4 linked regions of the Alligator mississippiensis genome follow. The protein of the gene in region 4 purifies or fractionates together with the protein of the main gene of each other region. This does not show direct contact. Links are inferred from orthologs where the notes say so. Each region holds a gene or a part of one and is shown on either strand. Other genes may lie near its edges.

Region 1 (7,742 bases), on a different chromosome or scaffold from region 4:
AGCATTCCTGTTCATTTTCTCACACTAAGAACAAAAATGCAAGTGGTTTGAACCAGCAAGTTTTGAACCAACAATTAAGTTACTTAAGCAGTAGTCCATAAAACTCTGCAATAGGAGAAAGTTTGATTCATAAAGGGAGCTTGACATTTTCATGAAGGAGAACATCAAGTTACATTGGGATACAAAGCCTGAAGTGTTTGGAAAAAACAAACCCCCATGTTTCAGGCCATTACCAATCTTCCAATAAGAGATTAAAGAAACTTCTTGTACAGGAAAGTTGTCCCATAACTGCTTATTTTGGAGACTTTTTACATCTTTTGGACAATGATGGAGACATTATTAAACTAAATACACCTCAGATCTGATCAGTTTCAGCATCATCTTTCTTCCAAAAATGAAAGCTAGTCATAAAAAAATAAAACAGGAATTGTTTGCATGTGGAAACTGATTATACTTGTCTAATTTAAGCTCTGATACAAGAGTCTGACGTAGAGTTGAAAAGAAAAAGTTCTAAAAAGGTGAACTAAGTGTAAACCAAAGCAAAAGTTTCTTCCAATGACTAGAAGAAACTGGCTCCAGAGCCAGGAAGACAGGTACCACTGTTCAGAAGGTTACCAAGTATCAAGTATTAGGAATTAGGAGGTCTGTGGGAAATTGCTGCTCCTTCTATGGAGGAGCAAAACAACTCAGCAAAGTAAGCTTTTATCACACCCCAGAGGATTTATCTAGGATTTTCTTGTCTTTGTTTGTTTTGTTTTTGAAGTGACACAAAATAGGAAAGAGGTAACAAGCAATTTAGAGGGACAAGAAGGGACAAAGACTGACAATAAAACCAGAGAAGACTGTATCACCATTATGCCTACATGACACATAAAAATAGCCCTATTATGCTGAACAAACACTGCACACACAAGAATAGTCCTGTCTGGAGACTATGCAAGACAGGGGTGAGCAAAATGCAGCCCGTGGTCCAGATGCATCCCGCCAGGCACTTCTATCCGGCCTGTGGGACCCCTAAAAAATTTAGAAAATTAATATTTATCTGCCCCGGCTGCCTGTCATGCGGCCCTTGATGTCTTGTCAAAACTCAGTAAGCGATCCTCCACCCAGAATAATTGCCTGCCCCTGATGTAAGATGTACTAAACAAAAGGTGGAAATAAGTAGTTAATCTTCTGAAGATAGGAAGCAACTCTGCCTAGAAATGCAAGATCAGAAAGACATACAAAACAGGGAAACACCTAGTAACAGAGAATTTTAAAGAAGTGGATACCTCCTGTACAAGACTGAAGGAACACACAACCAATCTCCTAAGAATTGTGGATTGCTTAACAGTCCAATGGAGAAACATCCAACTACATAATTATAATTTTATAGCTATAATTAAGGTTTTGATCCTAAAACGGATCGTGCAGTCCTGTGCAGAAACTCTCTGGACTCAGTGGGGAATCCGTGCAGGTGGATTTATGCAAATGAAATTGTAAACCTATGTATTTAATTACCTTTTTAAATTGTAAAACTCTCCTACTGTTTGTAAGTAATAATATTATATGTTTGCTTGGTTTTGGTTTTTTTTTAAACAAACTCAGGGTAACTAACTGAATGAAACTAAGTTTCTCCAGTTCAGGAATCAAAAAGTCTTCTTTTTACACAAGCATAAATCCAGATCGAAGAGTAAAATCAATAACATCCATGGCCTCCATATGATCGCAGAAGGCAGAGTAGAGATGCACTCTATTGGCTAACCAAATCAGAGATGCATGAACTTTCTTGAGCATAAACTAACTTTACTACTACCTCTCTACATATTCATATCATGTCACAACTTGGCAGTGACATCAAGGTGCTTTACGAGGTTCTATAAAACAGGAATAAAGCTTGTGTTAGTATTAATTGTTGTTTTTAATCAAGAAATAGAAATGATCCATTAGTACTTAGAAACATTCTAACCATTGCATTTCTACTACAAGCATTAATAGTGTCAAAGAAAAATAGCTTCAGGAATCCAGGAATACTGTATTTTCTACATGACAGTAACACGAGGTGCCAAAAGAGGGACACAAGTTGCAAGTAATTAGAGGAAGAATTTTGTAAGTATACTAGCCAATTGCCCCTCTTAGGTTTTTATAATATTAGAATATTCCAAAAAAGGTTAATTCTAATAAAAATATATACAAACATGTACTTTAGTAAAGCTAGTCTTTTACAACAAATAAAAAGGAGTTAATAAATCATCTCTATGTAACATAGTTACACTAGAAAACTTGGGGATGCTTTCAGATAAGGCTTAAACAGAAATCTTGGCTCTGTCTACAAGCTCACTAAGGATCCCTAACACAGCAGTTCCCAAACTGTGGGTTGCGACTCTAAATTGGGACCCCGGGGGTGGGGGCTGTGGGTTGGGAGCAAGAGGCCATGCATGGGGTCATGCTGAGGAAAAACAAGTTCGGGAAGCCCTGCCTCAGCACTTATTGTACAAGCATGGTCCACTGAAGTGTTCCCGGTCGGCTCTACCCGCTCCCGTGGCCGGGCAGGAGGCGGAGGATTGTGGCTGCCACCCACCCTCTCTGGGTACATCTAAACCAGACGGTGCCACAAGACGCCAACCTGAGACGGCCCCTTTTCTGGTCGTGCCCAAGGTCAGCAAAGCTGCAGGCCTGCGCCTTGGCTCAAGTGCTTCACAGGCTCCGGAGCGGGAAGCAGGAGTCCAAACAAAACTTCCCGACTAGGCCCGAGGCGCGGAGATGCGGCGCAGCGGCCTCCCCTACCGGGAAAGCGGCATCCGGCGTCGCCCGGGCTGCTCCTCCCGTAGGCGGGAGCCCCGCTCCGAGGCACCCGCCACTCCCAGGCGAAAGCGAAAGTGGCCGGGCCTGGCCGGGCGGAGCCGGGGGTCCCCGCGCAGGCCCCTCCGCCGGCAGCAGGGGCGCAAGTGCGAAGGCCGCCGGCCCCGCCGCTGCCGGTCCCTGCCCCGCTCCCTCCTCACCGCGCTGCCATCACCGGCCGCTGCCCCGCGCCCGCCCGGCTCCACGCATTCCCGTCCCCGCGGCTACCGGAGCCGCTACTCACCGCCCGCCGGGCTCCCCCCGACAGCGGCCGGGGCGAGAGGGAACGGGCCGGGCGAGGACTCGCCCCCCCCCGCGCAGAGAGGGGCTTAGTACAGGCCGCACTACGGCGAGCGCGGAGGGCCCAAATTCATCCCGACTTCCGTTGCCGCAAAATAAATAAATAATTCCTCTTCCTGTAGGCCGGCGTCACGGGGCAGAGCCGCGGCCGCCTGCACATGCGCAGCACCGCCACCCCGCGGACGCGTAGGTCATGCAGGCCCTCCACCCTGCGTATGCGCCGCTGGTCTCCGTGTCGTGGTCTGCGCCTGCGCGAGTCCTGCTAGTAGCTGCTGGGTCGGTGTTGTGGGGTGGGCTGTCATTTCAGCCCGTGGCTGGCACGCGATGGGTAGCGGTAGAAGTGTTCAAGACGCATCATAATTTTGTAGGTATCCAGGTTGTAGTCGTATTGATCTACAGGAAAAGGCAATCAGGATTTGTAGTAGAGATGATATCTTTTATTAGACCAACAAGGTGTTTGCAAAAAATTAAAGATTTTTTTTTTTTTGCAAAAATCTCGTTGGTCTAATACAAGATACCATCTCTACTACGAGTCCTGATTGTCATAATTTTTGAGGCAGCTAGCTCACTGATGCAGCATATGCAAAACCCAAATCACTCCTCTCAGGGGGCTTAGCTGACTTTGGGGATTGCTGCTAGCACTTCCTTATGACCGGTTGCCTTGAAATAAAGAAATGCTTCAACTTTGACCCACTTTTCACTCATGCGCTGGGACTTGTAGTGAGCAATATAAAGTAAATAAAAAGGCATATTTGCATATTTTCATAGTTTTTCAGCAAATACAGTCATTTTGAGCTTCCAATACAATTATTAAATATTTAAGACCTGGCAACACTGGGCTTAGTTCATCTGGGATTAGCCGGCCTGGTGCCACAGTGGCCTGGGATACAGTGCTCATGTCACTGCTCCAGCTGGGACATAGGAAGAAACCCCCTCAGCAGGTAAATGCGGGCTAGGAGTTGCCCAGCTAGGGCTGATCCCCACTAGAAGCAACTGGCAGGCACCTGCCATCCACCCCATGGGCATTTGCCATACACGCACCAGCATGGTCAGCCCAACACCCAACCTGCCACAGCCATATGCCAAGGGCACTTGAAGGCAGGATGGTGTCTCTTACCAGCATCTGCATCCACCTCTGCTGCCCATCCCCTCGGTTCACACTGCAAGCAACTCCCCCAATGCCTTGCCTTTCTAGACCAGGCATGTTTCCAGCTCCTGTGAGCTAAGGACTGAGACAGAAAATAAAACAAGCTTGCAGTTTGCACATAGGTGAAGAATCTAGGTTCATGCCCCCTGCACCCTTATGAAAGAAAAAAACCCATGTGCAATTAAACTAGACCCTTAGCTTCACATTTCCACAGGATTCGGAATATTTTGTTGTCCAGGGAATTCTCACAGCTTCATACCACCCACCACCCCCACCAGGGACTCCTCTCTCTCCCTACTCTTCATATGTTGCAAACTCTTCCCAGAATCAGAGTAAGTGGGGCTGGAAGGGACCTCCAGAGGTTACCTAGTCCAGCCCCCAGCCTAAGGCAGGATCATCCCTATCCAAACCATGCCATACAACCCATCATCTAAACTTTCCATCAGTCTACCATCAACCCTGAAACAACACACTCCTAACACCCTAGCTTGCAACAGGTAAAGCAGGGGAACCACAGTAACCACTGTGCTGTTTCTGTGAAAGATTATTAATATATGCTCAAGAAAGCCCTGCTCCCACTACAAAGGAAGGCAACCCCCTCCCCCCAGTCTGTACCAATCTGACCATGAAGTCAAATTCCTTCTGGCCCCAAACATGTCTATTTGCCAGACCCTGAGCAGAGGGGCAAGTCCCTCTAGCCAGGAACCTCCAGCTTTGGTCCCACCAGGAACATTGGCACATCTCACCGAGCCACACCAAGAGAGTGGTAGTAGACAGGTCAGTATCAGCCTGGAAGGATGGTGGGTAGTGGAGTCTGGCAGGTTTCAGTACTTGGACCTGTACTCTTCAATATCTTCATCAGTGACTTGGATGTGGGTGTGAAGTGTACTCTGTCCAAGTTTGCAGATGTTACTAAATTGTGGGGTGAAGTGCACACTCTAGAGGGAAGGGAACAATTGCAGGCAGACCTGGACAGATTAGAAAAGTGGGCAGTACACAGTAGGATGTAGTACAAGAAGGACAAGTGCACAGTGCTACACCTAGGGCACAAAAATATCCAGCACACTTACTGGCTAGGAAGTGATTCTCTCAGCAGCACAGAAGCAGAAAGGGATCTCGGAGTCCTAGTGGAGTCCAAGATGAACATGAGTCATCAGTGTGACGAAATCATCGGCAAAGCTAACCGCACTTTATTGTGCATCAGCAGATGCATGACAAATAGAACCAAAGAGGTGATACTTCCCCTCTATGCAGCATTGGTCAGACCGCAGTTGGAGTACTGCATTCAGAGGAGGCCACTTGTATGGTTAGGGGCTTACAGGACAAGCCCTATGAGGAGAGAATGAGGGACCTGGACCTCTTCAGCCTCCGCAAGAGAAGGCTGACAGGTGATCTTGTGGCCACCTACAAATTCATTAGGGGGACGCAGCAAGGGATCGGAGATGTTCTGTTCACCAGGGCGCCTCTTGAGGTAACAAGGAACAATGGTCACAAACTGACAGAGAGCAGATTTAGGCTAGATATCAGAAAACTGCTTCATGGTAAGGGTGGCCAAAATTTGGAATGTGCTTCCAAGGAAGGTGGTGCTCTCCTTGGGGGTCTTTAAGACCTTGGGGGTCTTTAAGAGAAGTCTGGATAGGCATCTGGCTGGGGTCACCTGACCCCAGCACTCTTTCCTACCTAGGCAGGGGAATGGACTCGATGATCTGTTGAGGTCCCTTCCAACCCTAGCATCTATGAATCTATGTATACTTGTATAATATGTATATACTGTATTTATAGATTACTTTCCCTCAAATATCTTCTTACTGGCTCATTCAAACCTTGATTTTTCCCTTTCCTCATTCTAAATTTCTCCAGATTTCAACCTTTATTCTAGATTTTTCTTCCAAGAAGTACTTATGTGTTTCATTAACCAAAACAAACCCAATTACAGTTTACTTCTTTCCAACATATTTCATAGATTTCATAGACATTAGGGCTGGAAGGGACCTTGGAAGATCATCGAGTCCAGCCCCCTGCCCAAAGGGCAGGAAGTCAGCTGGGGTCATAGGATCCCAGCAAGATAGGCATCCAGTTTGCTCTTGAAGGTATTCAATGTAGGCGCTTGAACCACCCCTGGTGGCAGGCTGTTCCAGACCTTGGGGGCTCGGACAGTAAAGAAATTCTTCCTTATGTCCAGCCTGAAACGGTCTTGTAGTAGTTTATGACCGTTCAACCTATTCGTCATCCCTTGGGGTGCTCTGGTGAACAAACGTTCCCCCAGATACTGGTGGTCACCCCTGATAAACTTGTAGGTGGCCATCAGGTCACCCCTGAGCCTGTGCTTTTCCAGGCTAAAGAGCCCCAGGGCTCTCAGCCTGTCATCGTAGGGTCTGCTTCCCTGATCTCTGATCATGTGCGTGGCTCTTCTCTGGACTCTCTCAAGCTTCTCCACATCCTTTTTGAATTGTGGAGCCCAAAACTGGACGCAGTACTCCAGCTGCGGCCTCACCAAGGCCGAGTACAAGGCAACAATGACGTCCTGGGATTTGCTTGAGAAGCATCTATGGATGCAAGCCAGCGTTTTGGTCACTTTACTAGCCACAGCATCGCACTGCAGGCTCATGTTCATCTTGTGGTCAATGATGACCCCCAAGTCTCTTTCTTCCATAGTGCTAGCCAGCGTAGCACTGCCAAGCCTATAAGGATGCTGTGGGTTTTTCTTCCCAAGGTGGAGAACCTTGCATTTATCAGCGTTGAACACCATCAGGTTCTCGTCCGCCCACTTGCTGAGCCTGTCCAGGTCAGCCTTATACTTATACACATCACTTATCAGGTTTTTTTCTTTTAGAAATTGATACATTTGTTCAGTCTCCCTGACATAGTATATTTATCTTTTCCAAACAGACTATGCTACATTTGTTTGCCTTGGTCTAATCACCTGCTGCTCACCTAAGAAACCTCAGGAAACAAGGAAATGAATATCGCCACCTCCATCCAGCTAAGAGTGGTAGAGGAGCTCAGATACTGCACTTCCAGCTCCATTATTAGACAAAATTTTATAAGAAAATCTGGGAGGAAGGAAGTCCCTCTCTCACCTTTTACATATCTAGTTTCAGCTGATAGAACATCCACCTCGTGGAGCAACTGCTGCTATTGTGTGCAAAAAAGTGGGTGTGACTGTGCAGATGAAAAGGGCCTCCTCATGGTTTTCTGAAAGTCTGGCTGTATTCAACACTAGGTTCTATGTGTTGTGCTCTAGTTAATGCAATAATGATTTGATTTGATTTAATTTAATGCAAGTCCTCCTTGTTTAAGTAAAGAGAACATTGCACTTTTCAGTATTGTCAGGAGGGAGAGATCAGGGGAAATACTCTAGCAGCCCACCAGAAAGCTAAACATACTGGGTTGTAAAATGTGCTATAAATCAAGAGTCTTTATCCAACAACAGCAAGACTACTTTGGATTAGTCAGTCACCCAAAGTAAGAACCT
Region 2 (7,530 bases), on a different chromosome or scaffold from region 4:
AGACAAATGTAGGTGCCAGATGAATGTAGGTGCTTAACGAGTTTTGTGACTGCTGAAGTGGAGCTGCTGTTGTGACTTGGTGCCTGAATTCTGCTTCAATTCTACTCAGGCCCTTGTTTACCAATCTCCTTAGATGTCTCCAGGGTTAGGAGGTTGCTAAATGTGAGTTTGAAAATTGATATTTTGCCCTTAAATGTTTACAGTGGCAGCTAGGCAGCACGTAAGTGTAGAGCTGATCCTGTTATAGGTCTTACTGTGGGTCCTGGAACCACTAACTTTGATCGCACGAACAGTTCCACTTAAAAACTAGGACTATACATGTAAAGAACCTGATGTTTTTGTAGCCAGGCATTCGGGAGCATCCATCTGTGTATGCCACACACTTTTTGTTCAGTGTCAGTATATGTCACACAGCAGGATTAAACAGCTACTCCTAAATGGCATCAAACCACTTTAACCTTGCTGGACATTCATGCCATTGCTGGACTTGACTGGTTTTTTAGACATCAGAACTTTAAAAACGAATGTGAACAGAAAACGGTGGAACAAGAAATCATCCGCAGACTGGATTGCTTTAAATTGAGACTACAGAGTTTTATCCCTTTATCTGGATTAGCTTTTATAGGCCCGACCTCCCTCTGTGGGTTAACTCTTTTGGCTTTCCCTCTCCTACTCACCTTGCCTTTCTCAGAAGTGCCCCTACTGTTTCATCCCCACGTCCCTACCCTTTGTATTCAAATCACTGCTTTTGTTTAGTAGCTCGGCTTTCTGCAGTCCCTTATTCATAGATTCATAGATTTTAGAGTCGGAAAGAACCTATTAGATCATCAAGTCCAACCCCCTGCCCCGGGCAGGAAAGAGTGCTGGGTTCAGATGACCCCAGCTAGGTGTTTGTCCAATCTCCTTTTAAATACCTCCAAGGAAGGGGACAGCACCACCTCCCTTGGAAGCGTATTCCATATTTTGGCAACCCTCACTGTAAAGATTTTTTTCCTGATGTCCCATCTAAATTTGCTCTCCTTTAGTTTGTGGCCATTGTTTCTAGTGACCCCGATGGATGCCCTGGTAAACATCATATCCCCTATTTCCTGCTGTCCCCCCCAATGAGTTTGTAGACGGCTACAAGATCACCTTTCTCTTGCGGCTGAGAGGTGATCCTTCACAACCTCTGATGAAGAAAGGCTTCTGTTTAGGAAAGCTTATACTATAATATACTTCTCTGATTTAGTTAGTTTATAAAAGTGAAAATCTACCCTGTCTTCCGCCTGATACAGCTAACTACCTCTCTCTGAAATGATACTGCCACAGTATTCCTTGGCAATAGCTGCTTGTAGTGATGTCTGTCTGAAACGCCTAAGCCACACCGTTCTTGCAGCTCTGGGCCAATACAAATGCCATGTCAGGATGTATTAGGCAAATGATAATGAAAGCCATAGGAAAACAGTACAGGAAGATAATACATCCCCGGGGGCTGAGCAGTTTCTGAGCCAGTGGAAGCAGGGATCTAATGCACGGGCATACACATCTGAGGGTAGAATAGGTAAGAGAGGTGAGCAGGGAACATTGATCACATCTTGATGAATAATAAACCACCCTGCTTTAATAGTTTGGCCGCTGAATTCAGACCTGTGCAACTGTCTTGTCTCCTAATGAATTTCTCCACCCATCCTCTGCCTTTCAGATTCATCCTGACCTTCAAGCCATTTTCTACCTAGCAATAACAGCTGGCTCCAAGACAAAAATCTGTTGTTATCTGCCAGTCAGTGCCCACAGCCTGCTGTTATCCCACAGGGCAGCAAGGAGCAAGCTTGCTAACATTCCCACTGGGAGGTTTGAGGGCCACAGTGAGATGGCAGCAGCATGTGATTAGGGGAGGTACCAGGCTGGTGTGAAATACCCTTTTTCCCACAACAGCTGTGAAGCTTGGAAAATTGTTTGGTGGGGGGACAGGGTTTTCCAAAACGATCACTGTGAAGCTGGCTTGCATCTGCATAGAGGTGTAGTTAGGTGTTAGTCTGCAGTCAAGGAGCAGGCAAGATAGATTTGCACCTTATAAACTAAACAAAGTAGAAGTAAATGTATATTATCACAGGCTTTGGTGAGCTGAAACATTTGTTGAAGTGAACTTGAAAGCTTGTGCATGTGTTCTCTCTCTATGGGTCCTGCCACTTGTTCAAATTAAAGCTGGATAGAAACCTGCTAGAGTTGTTACACATTTTCAAGCGCTAACTTGGTAGCTGGTTGACTCTCTTTGTACCTGGATGGGCAAGTGATAATAACTTTGCAAGTGAAGGTGGTCTAAATTCATTGCGCCATTGACCAGTTAATTGCATGATAACTACCTTACATCTGTGGCCCATCTAAATTTAGTGCACAATTAATCAGTCAGTAGTGTAATATCTGTACATGTAATGTGTAGCAGGGTCCTACAGGTACACAATCATCCACCTGAAGGCTGTGCTGTGCTTTGCATGCCATAATCCCATGCCAGTGCTGGATCAGAGGCCACATATGCAGATCCCAGCAGAGGGCACAGTAGAGTTGCACCTTAGATACTAACCAAGCTAGATATCTAGATAGATATGTGTGGGCATCTATATCTATACTACACGTCTACTTTGGTTATATATAGTAGATCCAGAGATACCTAGTGAGACAACATATACTACACGTATAGATCTACATTGGTCTCCAAGGTGCAACTCTACCCTGCTTTCTGCTTGCAGATGCACAGGTGGATCCTGACCAGCCCTGGTAGGGGATACTCAGGTGCCAAGCTGCTCCCCGGAGACTGCCAGCAGAAGGCAAGCCGAGGCACCGCCTGTGCCCACCGGTCTCTCAAGCTGCTCCCTCCCCACAGCCCCCCACTCCCCTCCAGGCCTCTGCCCTGCCAGCACCCCAGGGCACTGTCTCCCTTGCAGTGACCTGCACCTGTGTCCTCCCCCCATGCAGCCTTGCCAGCTCTTAAATATGAAATCATCATATTGGAAGCTCAAAATTCTTGTATTTGCTGCAAAACTATCATACACTGACCGCCCCCCCTGCAAATAAATAAGTATGCACATAAATCTTATTTAACTCTGCAGTGAGTAAGTGAGAACTGGGTCATCCAAGCAGAAGCATATCTTTATTTTGAGGCAAGTCGTCATAAGAAAGTGCTGACGATTCTCAGTGCCAGGCAGGGGAAATACCAGGTTCACCATGGTGGTTTTCCTACTGACAGGGGATAACCATGAATGTGGCACGGGGGTAGTACCCTCACCGAGGCAAGGCATGGTTAGCCTCCCACTGTCACTTCCAGTGGGAAGATCTCTGCTACACGCCGACTTCATGGAAATAGGAGACGACTCCTCCCTAGCTTGTTTCTGCCGCCGTACGGCTGAGGACAAGCAAAACTCGGGGCATCCGAACCCGCAGCCTCTGGGCTCAGGCCTGCACGTAGGACGCCCGCCAAAGGATTTGGAAACATCTGAAGCCCCAGTCGCGGGTGAAGGGTGCTTGCCAGTAGCAGGGCCACACACGGCTCCTGAACGATTCACGTGGATTTGGGATTGGTTTGGCCGACTTGACTTGGGACATGAAAAGGGGACTCTCAGCGCCAGGGCTGGATTAACCCTTTAGTGGGCCCCAGGCAAGCACGCTCGTGGGCCCCCAGCCGAACTTTTTCTATTACTTTTTTTCACTTAATAATCGTAATATGTAAAATAAGCACAACCGGGCCCCTTCTTCACTTGGGACAATAGGCACGTGCCTCGTTCGCCTACGCACCGCTCAGAGCCGCTTGGGGTTGGCATCCGCCGCCTCAGAAACGATCCCGTGAAGCCATCATGAGTTATCTTTCTCTGCAAGCTTTTGGCCACACGCGGCCTGCTTGAAGCAGTCTTTTTTTGCAAGCTTTCGGCCACACGTGGCGTCCTTCAAACGATCTATTTCTGTAAACTTTCGGCCACACGCGCCCTTCAAGCTTTTTTTTTGTGCGTGCAAGCTTTTGGCCCCCCGCGCCCATCTTCAAGCGATGTTTCTGGCCCCCCGCGCCCTTCCTCAGGCTCAGGGGCACGGAAAGGCGGTCGTTTGCACCATCTTGCATTTTCCCTGAGCCCGAAAGCTGGCAGAAAGGGATCATTTTTGAGTTTATCTTATTTTTTTTTAAGGTCAGTGGGGCTCATCGCTTTTTGCCTCTGCCAAACAAAAAATAAATGTAAAAGCAATGAACATTTTGGGCGCTCCGAGCCTGCGCGGTGCAGCGCCGCGACCCCATCACGCCTGAGGGGAGCCCGCTGCTCCCGTCGTGCCCCGCGCGCCGCGGCCCCGCCCCCTCGGCCGGCGGCCCCGCCCCCCCAGCGCCGCGGCCCCGCCCCCATGCGCCGCTGCTGCCCGGCGCTGTGCGCGCGCTGCCCCCCCGCCCCGCAGGGGGCGCCCCCCGGCCCCGCCCGGCCGCCGCTGCTGCTGGTGCTGGTGCTGTTGCCGCCCCGCCCCCCGCCCGCCCCGCGCGCGCCTGCGCCTGCTGCGCACAAGATGGCGGCCGGTGGGAGCGGCGCGGGCCCCGGGGGCCTGTCGTCCTCCTGCCCGCAGCCGCCGCCGCCCCCGCCGGGCAACGGCGCCGCCGCCGCCCCGGGCCCCCCCGCGTCGCCGCCGGGCCTCACCTACAACCAGTGCGGCGCCGCCAACCCGGCGGCGGGGGGCGGGGGCGCGGGCCCGGCGGCGGCGGCGGCGCTGTGCGGGGCGGGCGCGCTGCAGCGGGAGCCCGTGTACAACTGGCAGGCCACCAAGCCCACGGTGCAGGAGCGCTTCGCCTTCCTCTTCAACAACGAGGTGCTCAGCGACGTGCACTTCCTGGTGGGCAAGGGCCGCGGCTCGCAGCGCATCCCGGCCCACAGGTGCGCGCCCGCCCCCGCCCAGCCGGGACCCCCAGGGTGGGGGTGGGGCCCTGTGCTGAGGGGGGAGGGGGCTGTGTTTGTGGGGGGCAGGGGCAGAGCCCCATGTTGTGAGGAGGTGGCCCTGTGCTGAGGCCAGGGGGAGACCCCCATGTCGCAGGGGGGAGACCCCTGTGCTGAAGGCGGGTGGGGGGGAGCTGAGGGCTCCTTGCGCTGAAGCATCATGGCTCGCTTGAGCTGCTCTTTCTGCCTTGTGCGGGCTGCCGGCGGGGTGAAGGGGAAGCGGGGCCTCGCAGGCTGGAGCGGGTCCCCCCGCTCGCTGCCCTGGCGTTCTCCTGCTCACTTTTTTTGCTTTTATTTTCCCTGTTTTCATCCCTCCGGCTTAGCTGTCAGGTGACCCCTCCCGGGGCGTGCCCGCGGGTGGGAGACGCGTTGTCTGCCTGGAGACCCGGGCACACGCGCAGAGCTTCGAAGACGTAGGTTTAGCCTCCTGCGGTGTGAAACCCTGTGGGATGCGGTGGCAACACGCGGGTGCCGTAGCGGAGCTAAAACGCTAACGTGATGCCCCTTCAACTCTTTTGGCTCACGCGGCTCTTAAGTTTTTAGTACTGGTGTGTACCCCTGCGTTTCCAAGTGATAGAGAATTAAAAACAAAATTTGGTCCCCGCAGATGTGATGTCACCTCTACAGCAACTGAAGGAGAAAGACTGTAGACTTATTTTCTTCCTCCCTCTAGTTCCCTTGTACCCGTTGACATTTCCCTTTCCCTTGTTCTGCTTTCTTGTTCCTCTCTGTAGATGAATGATTCTCAACCGGGGCAGCATGGCATCCTGGGGTGTCCTGAGAGCCTTTTGAGGGTACAGCAGGGTGCCGTGCAGTGTTAGCCCTGTTAGGTGTGCAGACACAATTTTCAAGATAAAGGCAGGGATTTCAAATGGGAATCCAGAGTGTTTAAGAATATGCTGACTTGTTGTGGTGTTTCGGTGTTCCTTGCAGAATAATCGCTCTATTCTTCTGTAGTCAAAGCACAAGTGAAAATTAAGAGCCAGTATTTTCCAAGGGATGCCTGTCATGTAAAAAGGTTGAGAAATGCTGTTCTAGACCAGTGGTTTTCAACCTTTGTTCGTGTGTGGACCCCTTAGGAATTTCTGAGTGGAGGTGCAGTCCCGTTGAATGGTACGTGTGGGTTTTCACAGACTTTTGATTGATCATAGTCATCTTTTGCAGACCCCTTAGACGTAGTCCACAGACCCCCAAGGGTCCATGGACCACAGGTTGAAAACCACTGCTGTAAATGTTTGCCATTTACTGTAGCTTGACAAGCGCTGCGCTAAGACCGTGGCAGTCTTACTGTGAAGTGTAAATCAAGCTTCAGCAGGTTTGAGCAAGGGCTGCTTAGGTCTAATGTGCAAAACAAGATAAAGTCACAGTTTAACAGCAATGTAGATCTGTTTCAGAGTTAATGCTTCTGGTTTAAACACTCTTGGAGATTTTGGGGACTTGTTAAATACTTGACCTTAGACAGCAGTATGGCGCTCTCGCTACACTTGAGCTGTAGAATGGGTCTAACTGTTGCAGTTTTCTACCTTTGAGGAAAAGAAAAAATGTCATTGAGGAGTGAGCCATCTTGTTTTGATCAGCCTGCAGAAATACAGCAAACTAAATAGTTGGTGGATTATACTTTGAAGCAGTCCCAGATTTTATTTTTATATGTACATATGTACATACATACATATTTTCTTCTAGCATCAATGTGTTAACCTGTATCTTCGATGAGCAATGAAAACTGTGTGTTGGCTAACATGTAAAACATCTAAGTTGGTATCTATTTCCTTCTTTTTTTTTTTTGTTTTAAAGAAAGGAAACAGCAATGATTTTTCTCTGAAGTGGAGCTTGAGCTATTTCTAAAAAACTGGTTAAGGCAGAGTGGGATGTACAACTAAAAAATCTGAGCCTAGGAAAGAAATAATATTTTCAACTGGATATGAAACAGTTTAGACAGTTACTGTAGTGATACTTACTCTGTTCACCCTTAAGAAATTGTAGTTCCCAAACTGCGTATCCCTGAAGAGTGTGAAATTGCCTTGTTTTCAGTAATACTCATTTGGTTAATATGACGCTGCTGATTCTTGTGGCAACTCCTTTTAAATATAGGGGTGCATTGATGGACATCATTTGTCATCTGCTGTTTGGGGGGACATCTGATAAGTTTCTTTCAAATGACCCATGGATATCAGTGCCCCTTATATAACCACAGTGACCAGAGCAGCCAGGGATTCATTGAATTTTTAAGATAAAAAGTTTTAAGTGGTGATTTACCAAGGCATTCTCACTTGGAACTTATTATCGTATTTGCTTTATCTAAAATATGCATGCAGTTACCTTGACTAGAAACTTTTTTTGTCAAGTACATTGGTTTCTAGTTTCTCATTTTAACGAAACTTCTTCTGTGGTATTAGGAAAATAGGAGGATTTTTGTGTTGCAGTTAAGTGCCCTTAAAAATAAGCTTGAAAACACTAGTGATATTTGAGTTGATCACATTCCTGTTCTGCAGTTCTGAATGCACTGCTAACCAGGCAGTGGCAAGTGGGGAGGGGCACTTAGCCAGGAATAGGTTGTAAGGAACTTTTTAAAACCATTTTCTTGATTTCTGAA
Region 3 (7,550 bases), on a different chromosome or scaffold from region 4:
TCTAGAGGCTTTATTCATACACCAGAGAAACTGGGGCAAATGAAGCATAGGTAAAGCAGAAAAGCACTTGCCAGCACTATTGTATTGCTCAGGGTACCACCCAATAGATATTAAAGGAGCTGTTCTTCTTCAATCATTTCTGAGTTCCTAGAATGGATGTCTTGCAAACATTCTAGAAAAATAAATATCTCTGGAGATCCCATAAGCAAAATATAGCTTAAGAGTGACAGCCCTGAATGTATAGAGACACAGAGTCCTTAATGCAAGTCTACAAAGGTTCCTGGGACTGATCACTGAATATCAACACAAAAGAATTAGCCCTTGTTTCTCTGGACAGGACCTTAAAGAATAGCGGCAGAAAAATGTAGCACCTGGCTAGAACTGGCACCCAGCTCTATGAAACAGCTTACTGTTGGCTGCAGCATGATATCCAGGTGGAAAGGCTGGTGTAAATAGCATGGTGTGTATTACTAACCTGTCAGTTATGAAACAGTGTGAGGAATTAACATGAAAAAAAAACTATTACCAGGATTGCCTGCCTACAAGGAAGCAAAAATTCAGCCATTCAAAAATTTCACAAAGCTAAATCTATGTAAACTTCCTTGAGCCCCATTTTATAGTGATGAGCTGTGACTTTCAAGAAAATGCTATATGTGCAAGCTCACTGCAGTCTCTAAACAGATTACTGGGGGAAAAATATTTATATTATCCACCCCTCATGTAGAAACATAAGCCAATCCCAATGCTCCTGTCTGAACAAGTTGTTGGCTCCTTGATATCTTCCTATGCCAGCTATCTGAAGATTTGGCTGATAGTTTGTTCAAATTAGGCCTTGTGGGCAAAAAAGAAAATGAGAGCCCAAGGGAGATATACCTGTATTCTCTGGGGGTTTCATAGCTTTTCTCACAAACAGTCTCTTTGCTTGTGGCTCATTCTCTAGTTCTCCAGATTCTCGTTTCCTTTTCTCAGCTGACTTTGCCTCTTCCTCTGGCTGATGCTCATGAGCCTTCATGTGCTTCTTTTCCTTCGGCTGGTTGGCAGGGACCATTCTGTCTGAGCAGAAAAAGCAAACAAAGTAAGGAAGCTGTAATTGTCACTGCTTATGGCTAAAAAAGAGAACTGCAGTGTAATGTGCCCTGATTATGAGGCTATGCTTGTGCTACCCTTCATCACTGCAGCGCTGGCTTTTTGCATCCAATGATGTGAGGAGGAAACACGGTTCAATAAACTGCACTTTGTGCCTCTGTGAAAATGTGTGGCTCTTAAAGCACTGGGTTATCTGTTCTAGCAAATCTGTTTTTACAAAATAACCGAGTTTAAAATTTACTAATCCGGACGAAGCACATTTGTGCAACTTTAAAATGCAACACTAGTCTTTGCAGAAGCCCTTGTTACTTCATGATATCTCTGGTCAGGCTCAGCTAGGGAAAAGGCCAAGTGCTTTTGTGGCTTAATTAGAACACGGCCTCATCAAGCACTGTCATTGAAAAATAGCTTCTGAACACATGCAATCAACTCTCCTGGACTCTTAGATCATGCTTCTAGATGCTGTAGTGACACAGCAAATACTGGAAGACTTCATGCTTTTCTGGATCATTTACAAAGAGATGTTGGGACAGAATTAATTTGACCCCACGTTGTAACGCTCTGAACTAGGTTTTCAAAGTGATCCTTTCCGTCCAAAGTGGAGAGCCTCCTACTCAGCCTTCCTCCTTGGTCTAGTATAGGAGCGTACGAAGCAGAAAACGTCAGCAGCAAATCTCAAGTACCCTCCATGGAAACTAGCTGATACTGTAACAGGCTGTTTTATTTTTAATTTGTGAATGAATGTCACCAACAACTCTCTAGCGCCAAATGGCGTTAGGTGGGCAACAAGCAAGCTTCCTCATATAGCATCCCCGAACTGGCTTGGCGCACCCTCTACCTTTCCCAGACAGGGCTTGACGTAGCTCTGGCAGCACCCAGCCTATCCAGCACGCCTGCACAGCCTTGCTGCCGTCTGCCCATCCTCACCCGCAGCTGGGGTGGCCGTCACAGAGGACGTTCCGGCTTTCTGCTACTCTGTCCACTATTGATACGGAACCGGACGCCTTCATGCCCTCTCTTTTTCTCTTCAAGAGAAAAAACAGAGGACATAAAGGCATCTGGTTTTGTACCAACAGAGAACACAGGATAACCAGACTGTCCTCTATGATGGCCACCCCTACCCACAGCCCTGGAGGCTATTCCAGTGCCGGCATCTGAGGGCCAGTCTGGTTGGCACCAAATCAACTCCAGGGAAGGGATGGCCCAGCCCCACCTGCCCATACGCTTCCCAGCGCCAGCGCCTCGAAACCTTTGAGGCCCCCTTGAAAAGTGCCAGCTCTTGGCTTTCACTTGCTTTTTTGGAGGCCGGAAGCATGACAGAGCTGCGGGCCCCAGGGGCGTCTCTGGGCTTATGGGGTGCACGGCGCTGGCGCAGCCTGGAAAGGGACCCCTGGCACCCCGGGGCGCTGCCCGAGGACCGCACGGGAGGCAGTGACGGCGCCCCAGCTACGCCGCATCCACCTGCCCCGGGCCCTGGCGCCCCGGGCGGGGGGCCGCGACCAGCCAGAGCCCCGGCACCACCCTCCCCGCGGCCCTCACCTGGGCTCCCGCGGCCTCCGCTCCCCGCCCGCCCGGCTGCAGCGCGCCCTCCCCGCCTCCCCGCCCGGCCTCGCTCTAGCCGCGGGCCGGGGCTGCCGCGTGAGGCTGCGCAGGAAACAGGCCCCGACGCGCCGGGCTACGCCTCCGCCTGCTGCAGCGCCGCCCTCTGCGAAGGGCCTCCTGGCTCCCCTGCACGGCCCAGGGCCCGTCCTTCCTCGTCACGGAGAAGCCGGGCTGGAAGGGGCCTCCAGGTCGTCTCGTCCAGCCCCCCGTGCCTGAGGCAGGCTCAGCCCTATCCCAACTGTACATCCAAACCTCTACCTAAGACTGTCATGCACGAGCCAGCTCTGCGGCCACTGCTTTGGGCTCACGTGAGCAAGGATTCATTTAAGCAGCCAAGCTGGAAGCCCAGGGGGGGTTACGCCAGCCCTCTCGCCTCAGCAGGGAGCGCAGTGCCCAACATCTGTGTGACTCTTGGCAGGACTGTGAAGATGGACCATGACCAGGCATGGGAAGGCTCTGGCTCTTGCTGAAGACAAGAAGTCGTCCCTTAAAAAGTGAAGTCTTAACTCTGCAGCGTCACTGAGGCAGCTGCGCTGACAAGCACCCCCGTGGCAGCTGTGTTAGGGAGAGAAATCAAAGAGAAAGTAGCAAGGTTTTGTCCCTGCCACAATAATGCTTACCTGGACAGCCCCAAATCTCGACAGGAAAAGGAGGCCAGCAAAGCAGCCTGTTATCAAACATGTTTTCTAAGCTGGTGGTTCTCAACCCTGATAGCCTCAAGGCATCTCTTGGCAAATACCAGTGGCCATTTTTCCCTTGTTTTTTATAACTACAGAAAAATAAGAGAGAGAGAGCTGTTCTGCCATTGAAAAGAACTAACAAAGACCACACCTGGGCAGAATGATTTTAACACTTCGGATTCCTAGTTGAAATCTCTGGGTTTATTTTGTGGATCGTGTTTGCATATCTAACAGTACTAACGTTGTGTGGTGCCCCGTGGCACCCTTGAAAGGATCTAAGGCACCCCAGGATACGTGGCACCCTGACTGAGAATCACTGTCCTAGGCCTATATGTGAAGACCAGTTTGGTCACACACAGAAGTTTACAGAAAGCTTCTGACATATCATTTGATAACAATTTATCAGGTTCTTAAATGTAGGTTTCCTAGACAACCTTGTTTATCGGTTTTATTTTTTGTTTGAGTGATAAACGGGTGCATAGGATATAATTTTGTGATGTCGGTATGGGCTTCAGTTAGTGTTCCCACACAGAGCTATCTGACCCTCACAAGACTACTTTCTAGGGTTGTTTTCAAAAACAGTCTCTGCTTGTAGTCTAAGCCAGTGATTTTCAACCTTTTAAGTAGCAAGTATCCCCTGACTGCTGAAAATTTTAATGAGTACCCCAACACTCAATTTTCCCAGGGATTTTATATTTGCAGACTAACGTGTTGGAAGAAGGGCTGTGTATATAAGGCCATGATATGACAGATGTCTGATCTGGTGTGGGTAGGGTTGCCACCTTTTACACCAGGGGTGCACAACTCAAGTATGTACCTGGGCTAGAGGTGATGTTGGCCAAAGCTAGGAAGGCTGAACCCAGTGCCGCACAAAGCATGGCATGCCAAATTATTATTGGGGAGTTTATTCCAATTTTTTTTATTCCAATTTTTTTGCCATAGTTTTGAGAGCAGGAAGGGGCAAGAGAGAGAGGAAGATGGGGAGAGAAAGAAAGAGAGAGAGAGAGAGAGGAAAAGAAGGTGAGAAAGAGATAGTGTTGGGGTACCTGCATACCCCTTGCCTGTGTCTTGTGTACTGCCAGGGGTATGTGTACCACAAGTTGAGAAACTATGGTCTAAGCCAGGCAGAAGTAGGGAGGGAAGGAGTAAGGTATATTAATTCAGAGTCAACTGCCACACTACTACAAGGGAACCATGTTTATCCAGACCTGTTAAGCCTGTTGATTTGTGAAGTTTGTGTCACCTAAACCTAAACAACAACAACACTAATAATAGATGTCTGGTGAGGTCCAAAAAGGGCTTTATAGTAACCAAGAACTGTACTACATAAATTGAAAAATGTTAGAAACATCCACAAGAAGTTGCAGCTGCATATTAGAGATCAAGGAAAAACATGCATTTAGAATGTAGCTAAAGCAAATTCAAGAAATACAAGATGCAGTCTAGCTCAAATTCAAGTTGCAAGATCACTTCAGAGACCATTAGGATTCTCTGGTCTCTGAACTGATAACTGGTACTTTACAACATGCAGCAATGGAGGATAAAACAGACCTAAGCTATCACTACTTTGCACTGCACCTTGGTGGGTCCTTAACATGCTACTCCTATAACCATTCAGAATAGTCATCCCTACCACCAGCTTATACATACAAATCCTACGATATCTGTGTGTGCAGTTCTCAAAAGATACTATTGCTGCAATGGACACCTATGTATAGATAAAAATATTTTTCTTCCTACTGGAATATAATAATGTTGCATCAGTCACTTACACCCTATATGACAAACATAACATATTGGATATAGCAACTTATTAGGTGGGGAAAAACTATACCCACCCATGGAAAACACTTAGCTCCCACTACATTATTGTATATGTCAGCCTCTGCACATAATTTTCAATCATCTTCTGCAAAAAAAAAACCCAAAACACAGCATCCTTTTCAGTGCTGAATCAATTCATAATCATTCAAACTAGCATCTGTCATCAGGATACAAGACTCATGAAATCCCGAGGACCTGTTAAACTAGATCCCTCAGGAACCTAACGGGGGGAAAAGACTTCTTACTGTATACAGGAAAGGGAAGTGTGTTCAGCAGTATTCACAGTTTCCTAGAGACTACAAAGGAAAGAGGAACCTGTAAAGTTAAATAATAGATAGCAAAAAGTACTGATTATATTACTTCCATCTTAACCTCTACTGTTTTCCTCAGAATTAAAAAAATATAGATTCTTACCTTTCCACTGAAAAGGTAGGGATGAGATGGAAAAATTCCCATTGACTTCAATGGAATATGAAACAGTCCCAAAGTAAAGAACAAACTGTGATCCTGTTGTGCTAACTTTGCAGAAAGTTGTTTCCAGCTAAGATGTGAAACTCCCTTTTCCTATCCTGCTCACCTTCCTGAGGTGTTAACCGGAAAGTGGCCCAGAAGAGATTAGGCACAGTAACCTATGGACTTTCCACCTAACTAGAGTGGAAGTGATTAATTAATCTTTAAACAAACATGAGGGGCTTTTTTTTAAATCAAACACTAACACTGTCCTGATTTTCCCTTTGGAAACTCAACAGGTACCTTGGCAATTACCATTCTTACATAATTTGTTAAGAGCCAACTGTGCTGGATGTTGTGCAAGTCACAGAAAGAAACAGACCTGAAAGATAAAAGCTTTTGAGAAACCCTTATGCAGTCAGAAGACAACAGGAAAGAATAATTTTAATATAATAATGTTATTACTTGTATTACTGGGTCCCAGTGATGGTATAAATTCAAACAAGTCACAGGCCCAGTAGCAATCACAATTTTAGACATGTCTAACACTTCATTCTGCTTGGACAGGGTTAAAGTATCTGGAACATGACTGAAGCCCTTTCTGTACTTTGAGGGTAGCAATATTATAAGGGAGGGTCCTGATTTGGTGGTATATGTAGAGGTAATTGGGCCTTTTGCTTCACAGTGCCTGGATCTTTGCTAATGGAAGGTTTTGCTTTCTTGGACTATATTAGTTTGTACTTATTCTTGTAATTTTAAAGAGTGTAACATCTGAGCAACTTGATTCTCACCAGGACATGGAAGCAATTAAGAATTCCAACAAACCAAAAACATTAGGGAAAAAAACTGCGTAACCCTAGCAAAACTGAACCTCCTCCTATCCCAAGATCTTTCCCATCAAGCTGCCCCTGCCCTGAGAGAAAGAAGGTAACATTATCTACTTATCTCCTTCTTTACCTGGACACTCTGTCCTTTATGAGCCACACCTTCCTCCCAGAGGAAAGGAAAGACACATTAGAGAGAACATAGCATGACATCAGTGACTCAGAGACAGAAACAGGAGACTAAACCTCACACATGGTATGAAACTTTGTCTTGGGCAGTTGCTGGATACACAATATCTGCCTCTGACTGCTGAGATTTTTCCTTTTTCACACTTCGAATTGTTAATTGAACTAATGTATTGAAAGTGACATGAACTATGGTGGAGCATCACATTATGTTACAGAGGTCTACTAGTTTCTTTCCTCTTGCCTTCATTACAATATGAACACACTGATTAGTCTTTCCTCTCACTCATCTGCTTATGTTTTCTGGAGTAAGGCTTCAGATCTCAGAAGGGCATTGGGTGCTTCATCACTTTTGCTCCCCAGGAACTGGAAGCAATTAAAAAACAAATGGTCCCAGAATACACTCTGAATAACCAGGCCCAACAGTCATGGAGTGGATTTGTCAGTGCTACGAGTGATCTTTCCTTCCTGCCTGCCTTCTGTGGGGGTTTCAATCTTCCCTTTCTACTTTGATTGAATAAATGTCATTGTGAGTCCATAACTGATCCTGGTGTTTGATCCTCTAATAATTTAGAAGCAAGTGACAGGAAAATGGCCCAGCATGGACCTTTCACTCCCTTAACTTCATGCTGAATCATGGCCAAACTCTGGTTTAGAAATGGAAACTTTGGTGGGAAGACACAGCGGGCAGGTCTACACTTGTGCTTTAATTAATAGATTCAGAAGGGACCACAAAGGATCATCATGTCTGACCCCCTGCCCCTGGCAGGAAAGAGGACCAAGGTCAGATGACCCCAGCCAGGTGTCTATCAAGCCTCCTCTTGAAGACCTACAAGTTAGGTGATAGTACCACCTCTCTTGGAAGCCCATTCCAGATTCTGGCCACCCTTACTGTAAA
Region 4 (8,348 bases):
TGTAGAGACCTCTGTTCAGTAACTCATCAATGCTCCCAAAAATTTATTTAGCTGAACTGGTTATCTCAATCTGCGGAATGCCAGCCTATCCTTTCCCCTGCAGGAGACAAGAGCTGTCCAAACCTGCAAAAGCAGCCAATGCCACACTGTGAATAAAGGGACATCCTGCTTCACAGTGCGAGTCCAGCTTGTCAATAACTCATTTATCAAACATTAAAACAAACATGACATTTTTGTTGAACCACTGGCAAAAGCATTAGTCTATCCAGACTGCCTAAATGTAACAAGAAACAGATGTTTGCTCAAAGCCAAGAAAAACTTAATTTGCGTTGTAAGTCATGGTATTTTAGCCATTTTGGAACTGAAATTAGAAAAAGCTGAAACACATGAACATCCTAATATTTTCACAAAAGATGCGCCACAGGAAAGAATTTAAGCAACATTACAAGAACCGCACAATGAAAATGCAAGTGTCCAAAAGCAACACCTTTGGTAGCATGTCAGCATGCACTGCCTGAAGTTCTCAATGTTAAAACTAAATTAAGCCTATAAAGAAAGAAAAGTATCACTTACAAGACAGCAAGAACCCCTAAAGAATGTTCCTGCACATCCAGGGCACCAAGCACTGTATCCAGGTGGGAGAGATTTTTTGCTAGCAGTTCCCCGCTTTTATTGATCAGTTCACAAAGCTGGGTCATTTGCCCTAAAACATGAAATATTGCAGTCAATTTTCAATTACAACACCAAGCAAAGCACACTGAAAGGTCATGCGTTCCCTTATTTAACATCTCCTTGCTTTGCCTTTAAGCAAAAAAAATAAATAAATAAATAAGAGAGTCAACTAAGTTGTCTTCTAGCAGCAACCAAAATTTGAGACCAATTGAGGGGACCCCACAATAGCTTATCATTCAACACCCCTCCCAACCCCCCCCATCTGACTTATTGGCTGCAAAAAAGCCTTCAAAACCAAATAACAGAACATAAACCAATGCAGAGTCGGTTTCCCTAGTCTGCAGAGAGAATTACCAGCGTCTCAGGAGCTACTCTGTTTTTGATGAGCTGCAACAAAATGAAATTTAAAAGGCTCTGGCCAGTTTCTCTGCTATTTAAATCTTTTCTTTTCCCTACCAGCACCTAAGAAAATGGGAGAATCTACACACGAAAGTCCAAGGGCAGCTTCTTCCTCCTTGGGCATCCGAGCAATTCTTACAGGTTTGCCCATCGCACTTCTTACGTGCTGTATTCCAGCTAATGTTTTTAGAAAACAAATTCCAAGTAACACTTTAGGATAAAAATATATTTTCCTAATCTGTTTTCCCCCCAAGTTTACTTGCATATCTGACAATACTGCATATAGTCGCTTGTGATTTAGTCTTTGTGAGTTTTTGACAAGGCATGTGGAAAAGAAACATCTTAGACCTAGCATGCTTTCTCGATTTCTGAAGACGGGCAGGACTAAAAGGCGGATGCTATATTCGTAAAGTGCCTTGAATTCAGTTTTCAAAGGTACTGGGGTCTTCAATGGATGGCATCTGATGCAGCCACTGTTTCAGCTGTCAACGCTTCCAGATTAGATGTAAACAAAACAGTTTCGCATCACCGCCCAGTACCTTTGGGAGTAGGAGTCTATTCATGAATGGAAACACATGACTGCTCTTCTCAAATTCTCTCTGACCTTTTCCTCAGAGTCAAAATAAAACACCAACAAGGTTTAACAGTGAAAGGTTAACTTTCAAAGACGAGTGTGGTCCAAATAAAGGCCTGGACATCAAGAACCGATTCTAGCGTCAACTGTGCCAAGCAGCACGGCTCCGGGACTCTTGCCTCGCGCCCGCAGCCAGCTGACAAGAGCTGTTGAGCGGACTAATGTAAAACATGATGAGGTTCAATAACGGTACGCGTGTCGTGAACACGTGTTTTTCGATCCTTTTTCCTGCTGGCAGTTAAAAGTCAAAACGTTGCCGTCATCCACAAGCTTCACCGACAACCTTTCGTGTGAACAAAATCCTAAATAAAGGGCACTGCAGAAAACTCCCTTATATGCAAGGAGCTACAACGTGCAGCAATAGAAAACAAAACAAAACAAAACTCCAGCCCAATGCAAAAACAAGAGTCAGAGGCAAAAATTAAAAATTAAGAGAAAGCCTGTCTGACACGACTATGTTACGCGAGCTAATATGAAAAGGCAGCTATCTATTTCCACTCGTTAAACAGTGAATCGAAGAGACAGGGAAGCTCAGAAACCGGCACCGACTGTGCCCGGGAGCGCTAGGCCCACACAGGGAGGGGAAAAAAAAAAAGACTTAAAGACACCACTGAGAAAAATGACAATATTTCATAGATTTCCAGGGTCGGAAAGGGCCTGGTCCGAGCCCCTGCTCCACATTTTAATATTAAAATCTTTTTTTTCCTCTCACACTAGAGAAGTCCAGTTTGAAGCGACAAAACCTCCCATCGACAACCGCCTTTTTGTATCTTACGGCCGCCACCGAGCTCGCTTCCACCCAGGACAACTTGTACCACCTTTTCTCCCACGCCTGACGGGCAGTTTGCAATTGAAGACTGTTTTGGGCAGAAATCTCATTGGTCCCCTACAAGGTATCGCCTGGACCACGACCCCAGGCGCGGCCACGGGGCTGCTCTTCCCCGCGTGCTATTCTCCGGGGAAATTTCATTTTTTTTAAATAGAAACACCGCTGCCACAGTGCACAGCCTGCTCCCGACAGCCGCCATAAAACGGGTGATCGGGGCTACGAGGCCGGAGCCTGCTGCCCCGCAGCCGAGGGGGTATGTGGGAGAAGGGGCAGGCGGGGAGCCGGCCGGGGCCCAGCGCTGCGCTGACAGGCCCAGGGGTGGGGGGCTTCCGCCCCGTCTTCCCGCGCGCGCTGGCGGGCGGCCCCGCGGGAGACCGGGCCGAGGGAGCCGCCACGCCCCCACCCGCCCGCCGGTCACCTTGGGCCGAGAGCTGCCGGACGCTGTTAACGAACTGCTCCAGGGCAGACGCCATCTTGGCGGCTCGGGCGCGCGGCCGGGGCGGCCGGGGGAAGCGGGAAGGAGGCTCCGCGCGCGACGCGCCCCTTGCCAGCCAATCCCCCGCCGCCTCGGGCGCCGCGAGACCCGCGGCCGCGCGCGTCACTTCCGCCGCGTCGCCTCGCGAGAGCTGCACGGCCTCCTCCTGTCGCCGTTACCAGGGCGACCCCCGCCAGCCGGAAGTCGCCGGCTCTTGTAAACAGCCCCGCCCCCTCCCCGCCCTCGAGGCCATTTTACTTGGCAGAGTGGTGACTCAGCAGCTTGTGGTGTCGTCATCGCCGCCCTCACGTCACTGTGTCGTCACTGTCATGTTGCAAACATGGCCCCCAGCCCACCCACAGGGCAGCGCTGGCTGTCAGGAATGACAGGGCCCCTCTCCCTATTCAGACGCCTGTCCACGGGTCCTCGCATCTGTCATCGTGCTGACATCATGCCTACCTCATGCCACAACAACAGGCCTCAGTCACGGTTCTGACATCACACTTGCCCTCCAGGAATGAAACATGGATCCCCAGAGACAAACGGCTGAGAGTCACCCGGGAGATAAATGACCGGGCGTTCGTTAACACAAATAGTAAATGCCGATGTCCTTGGAAGACGTACAAAAAACTAGGACTCTGGGTTCCAAAATGAGAACTTTTATTAGATCAACTGGGAAATCGTGAGAAAACTGTCCTTTTCTGCAAGCTTTCGGGACCAAAGTCCCTTCGCGAGGCTCTGGGGAAAGTCCCCATCGGTAGGGAATAAGCTTCATTTTTGCACAGAGGGAGCTGAAGATGGAAGGCTGTCCCGCTGGGTCCACGAAAGCGCCAGCTATGTCCTCAGACCAACACGGCTACGACCAAAAACCCAGATCCAATCTATACAGTAGGCCAGTGGGTTTGTTAAATGTAATAGTAATGTGCCTGTGCCTTCCTGGCGTCAAGTCTACACACCAAAATCCATCGTGGATACGTACAAGCACGCGGGCACGTCTGCGTTGTGTGTCGCCGACATGTCGGCCTTCCCGAAATCTCCCGGAATAGATTCAAACTATTTGGCAACCCTACACGCACATCGCTCCATCGTCGTCCCGTCTCTTTCCATCATTTTCTGGCAGCTTTTCAAGAAACAAGCAATCAGGTGGTCACCTAGATTTGGGCCCATTGAGTACATTGGACAATACTTAGCATAGTTATGCGAGTTCCTGATTGAAATGACTGTTATAAACGCAATGACGAATTAATTATGTATCTATCATTCTTGAAAGCAAAAGGGATACCTACTTATCTGTCGACACTTTTGCCTCGCACTGATAAAAATCAGGTTTCTGCAGTGCTTGATTGTAATATGGTCGTACAATGCAAATAGCCGAGGGCTGCACATACTATACCACCTTTACCACAGCTTTTGGTGCAGAGAAATTCAACGTGTTTTCCAATGCTGCGATTACTTCACAAACAGAAGATGTATCTGGAATAAAAGTGGTGTTTACATCTACCATTTGAGATATAAATACCAATAAAAGCAATATTTACATCTACTATTTGAGATATAAATACCAATAAAAGCAATATTTACATCTACCATTTACATCTACCACTCATAGTAAAGTCAGCTCAAGTTATCTCTACCTGAGTTACTCCTTTCAAGGTGGCTGAGTTCAAGTGAGCGGATAGTTGTCAGCTAGCACACGTGTGCAGCACTGTTGACAGGATTCGGCACGCTTTGGCCCCCGACCATAGCATGAATACTTCAGTCGGTATAAATGGGAGCTCAGATTCCACCCTGTAGAGGAGAGCGGTACCATGTGAACCAGCATGAAGTTGCGAAGCACAGTATTCAGGAGTTGCCAAGTATAAGGCGTTCGTGCGAACAGAAGCAGTGTATTCTGATATACCACAAACATGAACAGGGTCTTTCTGCCCTGCAGTGTGAAAGCCATACACGGGCTATCATTGTTTTATCAGAAATGTCAGACGTGGGATGAAATATTGAGTCAGAGGAGAATATAGTCTTGAAACTATTAAACATCTTCCCTCCCAACCTTCTGTTATATTCAGCCTGACCTAGTGATTAGAACAACCTGGACTTTTGTTCCCTTTCTGTATTGCTGACTCACTCTGTGACCATGGGAGAGGCATTATACTTTCCTGTACCCCAGTGGTTCTTTTTGTAAAAGAAAAATAATAATAATAATAATGTTGTCCTTTGAAAAGAACGGTAGCGTCCAAAGATGAAAGTATGGAAGTGAACTATGGAAGTGCAAAGTATCAGTATGGCCAGCAATTGATATATCTCACCCCACTTGCCAATGTTAGCAGCTGCCTAATCTTTGTCACTCATGCATCTTTAACAGCTTAATCCTTCCAACTGTCATCTTTCGGTATTCATTTTTTATTATGGACCACAATACACACACTCTTCATGGTTGATTGTTACTGTGTCTGTCAGCAACGCAGCCTTACACATTTGTTTCCTCTCTGAATAGACTAACCTAAAACATCCCAAATGCAGGGGGGCTGGACCCGATGATCTTGTAAGGTCCCTCCAGCCCCTAACATCTATGAATCTATGAACCCACCTTCTGCATATGTACAGACCGCAGCTAGCTAAAAGAAAAAAACCTCTCTTCAGAACTCATTGTATGAGAATTTGCTCTGGGAAACAAAATGAAAGGGAGCAGGTTTTTATTATAACTATGAAATTCCTTCCCTTTCTACCTAGGTATCTTATTTAAAATCTTTCCATGGTAAAATTATATTTTAATTTCCATAAAGCCCTGTAGCCCAGAGGATCTAAAAATAAGGTACATTGTTATACATATATAAAAGTATAAGTAAGAACCATGTATATTCCATGAAGTTTGCTAGAATATACTGAAAAATCTCTTTACACACACACAGGTTTGCAGATGAGAGCCGTGTTTCATGACAGGTTTCTCTTCTCAGGTCTGTGAAAACACTAAAGGAACATGGTCCTTCCACAAAGAATTAGGCATTCTGTATCCAAAGAGTAAACTCTCAACTTGAGTCTCAAGACCAAATTAAAATCAGCATTAGTGTCTATTGATGACTGTGTCTGGACTCCCCATATTTCTGTGTCCACTTACACCATTGTTACGAAACTTAGTTCTCATTTATGGGCTAAGAGCTGATAAATCCGTTAAAGGGTGTAATGTTGTAATGTAAAGCCCCAGTGCTTCACGTGTCTTTCTGAGGTCCAGGAAACTGTGGTTGCTTCATTAAAACCACTGATATCCTTTCTGTGGAACAGATAGTGTTTGAAGACTCCAGCAGGTTACATTAGCCAGGATGAGCACAGTCCTGCCTATTAGCCCCCTCGCATACTTTAAGTCTCCCAGTCGTTCTGACAAATGAGGACCCATGTGAGGAGCAATCCTGCTTCATACTGGTCAGCATCAGAAGGTAACTGCAACTCCTGTTTCCTTTTTTTTTTTTTTTTAAAGAACATTTCTGTGATAGTTTAGCACTGATGAAAAGTGCTACCCTGACAGTCCTGAGCTCAGGAAAACCTCTGCCCACAGAAAATACAACAGAAGTATCCATGCTGGAAGCCTTCCCGCCGGATGCAATGCCTACCATCCATATGCTCAGCCACGACTTGTATGAATTCTGGGTTCATAAATTGTTGTGTCCTGTTAATACTTAGCTTCTTTGCTGTCACTAACGGTGACAATTAGGGCCAGCTCCGGTGTTTGTACATATTAATTATATGGACACTTATCTTCTGAGACCTGGAATGAGAGCCATCCAACATGTATCATTGACAATGGCTTTTGCTGACCTGACCAGCTTCAAACCAGCATATTAAAAAGGGTCTAAGGCTCATCACTAGTTCATCCTGACACTTAAGTTCCACCTGTATCCTTCATGCTGGCTGAAAGCCATGGAAAGCCATGGAAAGCTTTTTCAGGTTTGGCAGTTTTTGCTAAAAGTCCTTTTTTAAGCCATACGCTCTGTCAGACAACAGCTTCACTCATATTAGCCTGGAGCATTAGAAATTTATGCAGTTTAAGTCTCTGCACCCCAACCCCATGTTCTAGCAATAATCACAAAGTGGGTGTTGTCCTGGCCTGCAAGTGAAATCATCTATCTACTCTCCAAATCAAAGTATATACTTTACAACTCAGTTTGCATTCAACACATTTTATATGACAAAAATGCTTTATTTTTTACTGTATCCCAAAGCCATCTGGTGGGTGGATCAGAAGTCAGAAGTATATCACAATATTATTATGAATTTGGATTACTTTTGATTAATGATTATTAGAACAAGGATTAATGAGAAGATTTGGAGAGAATCCCTTACACAAACAAGTTCATGTCAACTGGATCCTGCGTGTGCCTCAGACAGGCCAGAAGAGTTTTTAGAGCGTGTGAAGCAACTTGGTGTTTGTGAGCAGAGCTGGGACCATATCGTGTGAAATACTGAAGAGTAAGATTTGGTCTTTACACATCACCATCTCCAGACTTTGGGGATGCTCAGGCGGGGAATCAAACTGTCGCTAGCCCTGTTTACTATGGCAGATCTACCAAGATCCCCGGTTCAGTGAGTGTCATTTGTCACAGTGTAGGGGTAAAGACAGATACATACAGTATACTGCGAGGACTGGACAGTAGAGATTTAATGATCTGAATACCGATTATCTTCCCAACTATTTAATCCAAACAGGATGCAGAACAAGCTGCCATCCTGCATAGCGTGGGATCACGGTGACTGAAAGGAAGAGAATGTTTCTGGTGACTGAGAGCAAGACTGAAATAATCACCACCCTGGAAAAGGTTGCATATCAGTTATGTATTATAAACATAGCTGTTTGCTTAATATGTACATATTAAAAATATAAACATTATACATGTTTCATGAGCCAAACACTGATTTGACGCTTCCCAAATAGTCTGGATAATCAAGGCTCTCCTGCAGTGGTTCTGAATTTGTATAGGATGGTTTGGATAGGGACGGTCCTGCCTTAGGCAGGGGGTTGGACTGGATGACCCCTTCTCTCTCCCTCTTTTTCAACTCAAGTCACCCCTTGATAGACTTATGCCTGAAAATGTCAGCCCTTCGTTTTTTGCTGCTTGGTTTTGTTTTGTTTCTACAGAAACACAGCGTGATGCTCCGCTTGCAAAGACCCCAGGAAGCCCAAATCAGGTCGGAAGGCATGTAACACTGCAACTTCCTACTTGCAACCTGTCTGGCCACGAGTGTTTGCACCCCGCCCAGGGCTACTGCTGGGTGACAGGCTCTCAGCCGCCGGCCCCTGGCTGAGGATCGCTGCTCTCCCGCACCGACAAGCCCATCCGATGCCCACGCGC

The links.
Region 1: the proteins of COPS3 (region 4) and CUL2 purify together in Homo sapiens (affinity purification with mass spectrometry; 5 studies listed by BioGRID and IntAct, counting the BioPlex papers as one, with this or other methods). This does not show direct contact. The link is inferred for Alligator mississippiensis from reciprocal best matches to the Homo sapiens genes COPS3 and CUL2.
Region 2: the proteins of COPS3 (region 4) and BTBD2 purify together in Homo sapiens (affinity purification with mass spectrometry; 3 studies listed by BioGRID and IntAct, counting the BioPlex papers as one, with this or other methods). This does not show direct contact. The link is inferred for Alligator mississippiensis from reciprocal best matches to the Homo sapiens genes COPS3 and BTBD2.
Region 3: the proteins of COPS3 (region 4) and DDB2 purify together in Homo sapiens (affinity purification with mass spectrometry; 7 studies listed by BioGRID and IntAct, with this or other methods). This does not show direct contact. The link is inferred for Alligator mississippiensis from reciprocal best matches to the Homo sapiens genes COPS3 and DDB2.

What each region holds. Positions count from the first base shown.
Region 1 is NC_081828.1:195,034,138-195,041,879, forward strand, and holds the start of CUL2 (cullin-2), read right to left. Parts: upstream 3,213-7,742; 5' UTR 3,065-3,212; intron 2,785-3,064; exon of another isoform or gene 2,767-2,784; intron 2,689-2,766; exon of another isoform or gene 2,606-2,688; intron 1-2,605.
Region 2 is NC_081839.1:7,378,788-7,386,317, forward strand, and holds the start of BTBD2 (BTB/POZ domain-containing protein 2), read left to right. Parts: upstream 1-4,500; 5' UTR 4,501-4,515; coding exon 4,516-4,877; intron 4,878-7,530.
Region 3 is NC_081825.1:227,870,536-227,878,085, reverse strand, and holds the start of DDB2 (DNA damage-binding protein 2), read right to left. Parts: upstream 3,487-7,550; 5' UTR 3,370-3,486; coding exon 3,309-3,369; intron 3,021-3,308; exon of another isoform or gene 2,960-3,020; coding exon of another isoform or gene 2,947-2,959; intron 2,731-2,946; exon of another isoform or gene 2,626-2,730; intron 1,054-2,625; coding exon 874-1,053; intron 1-873.
Region 4 is NC_081836.1:54,423,639-54,431,986, forward strand, and holds the start of COPS3 (COP9 signalosome complex subunit 3), read right to left. Parts: upstream 3,078-8,348; 5' UTR 3,008-3,077; coding exon 2,953-3,007; intron 704-2,952; coding exon 574-703; intron 1-573. UniProt on the Homo sapiens protein: Component of the COP9 signalosome complex (CSN), a complex involved in various cellular and developmental processes.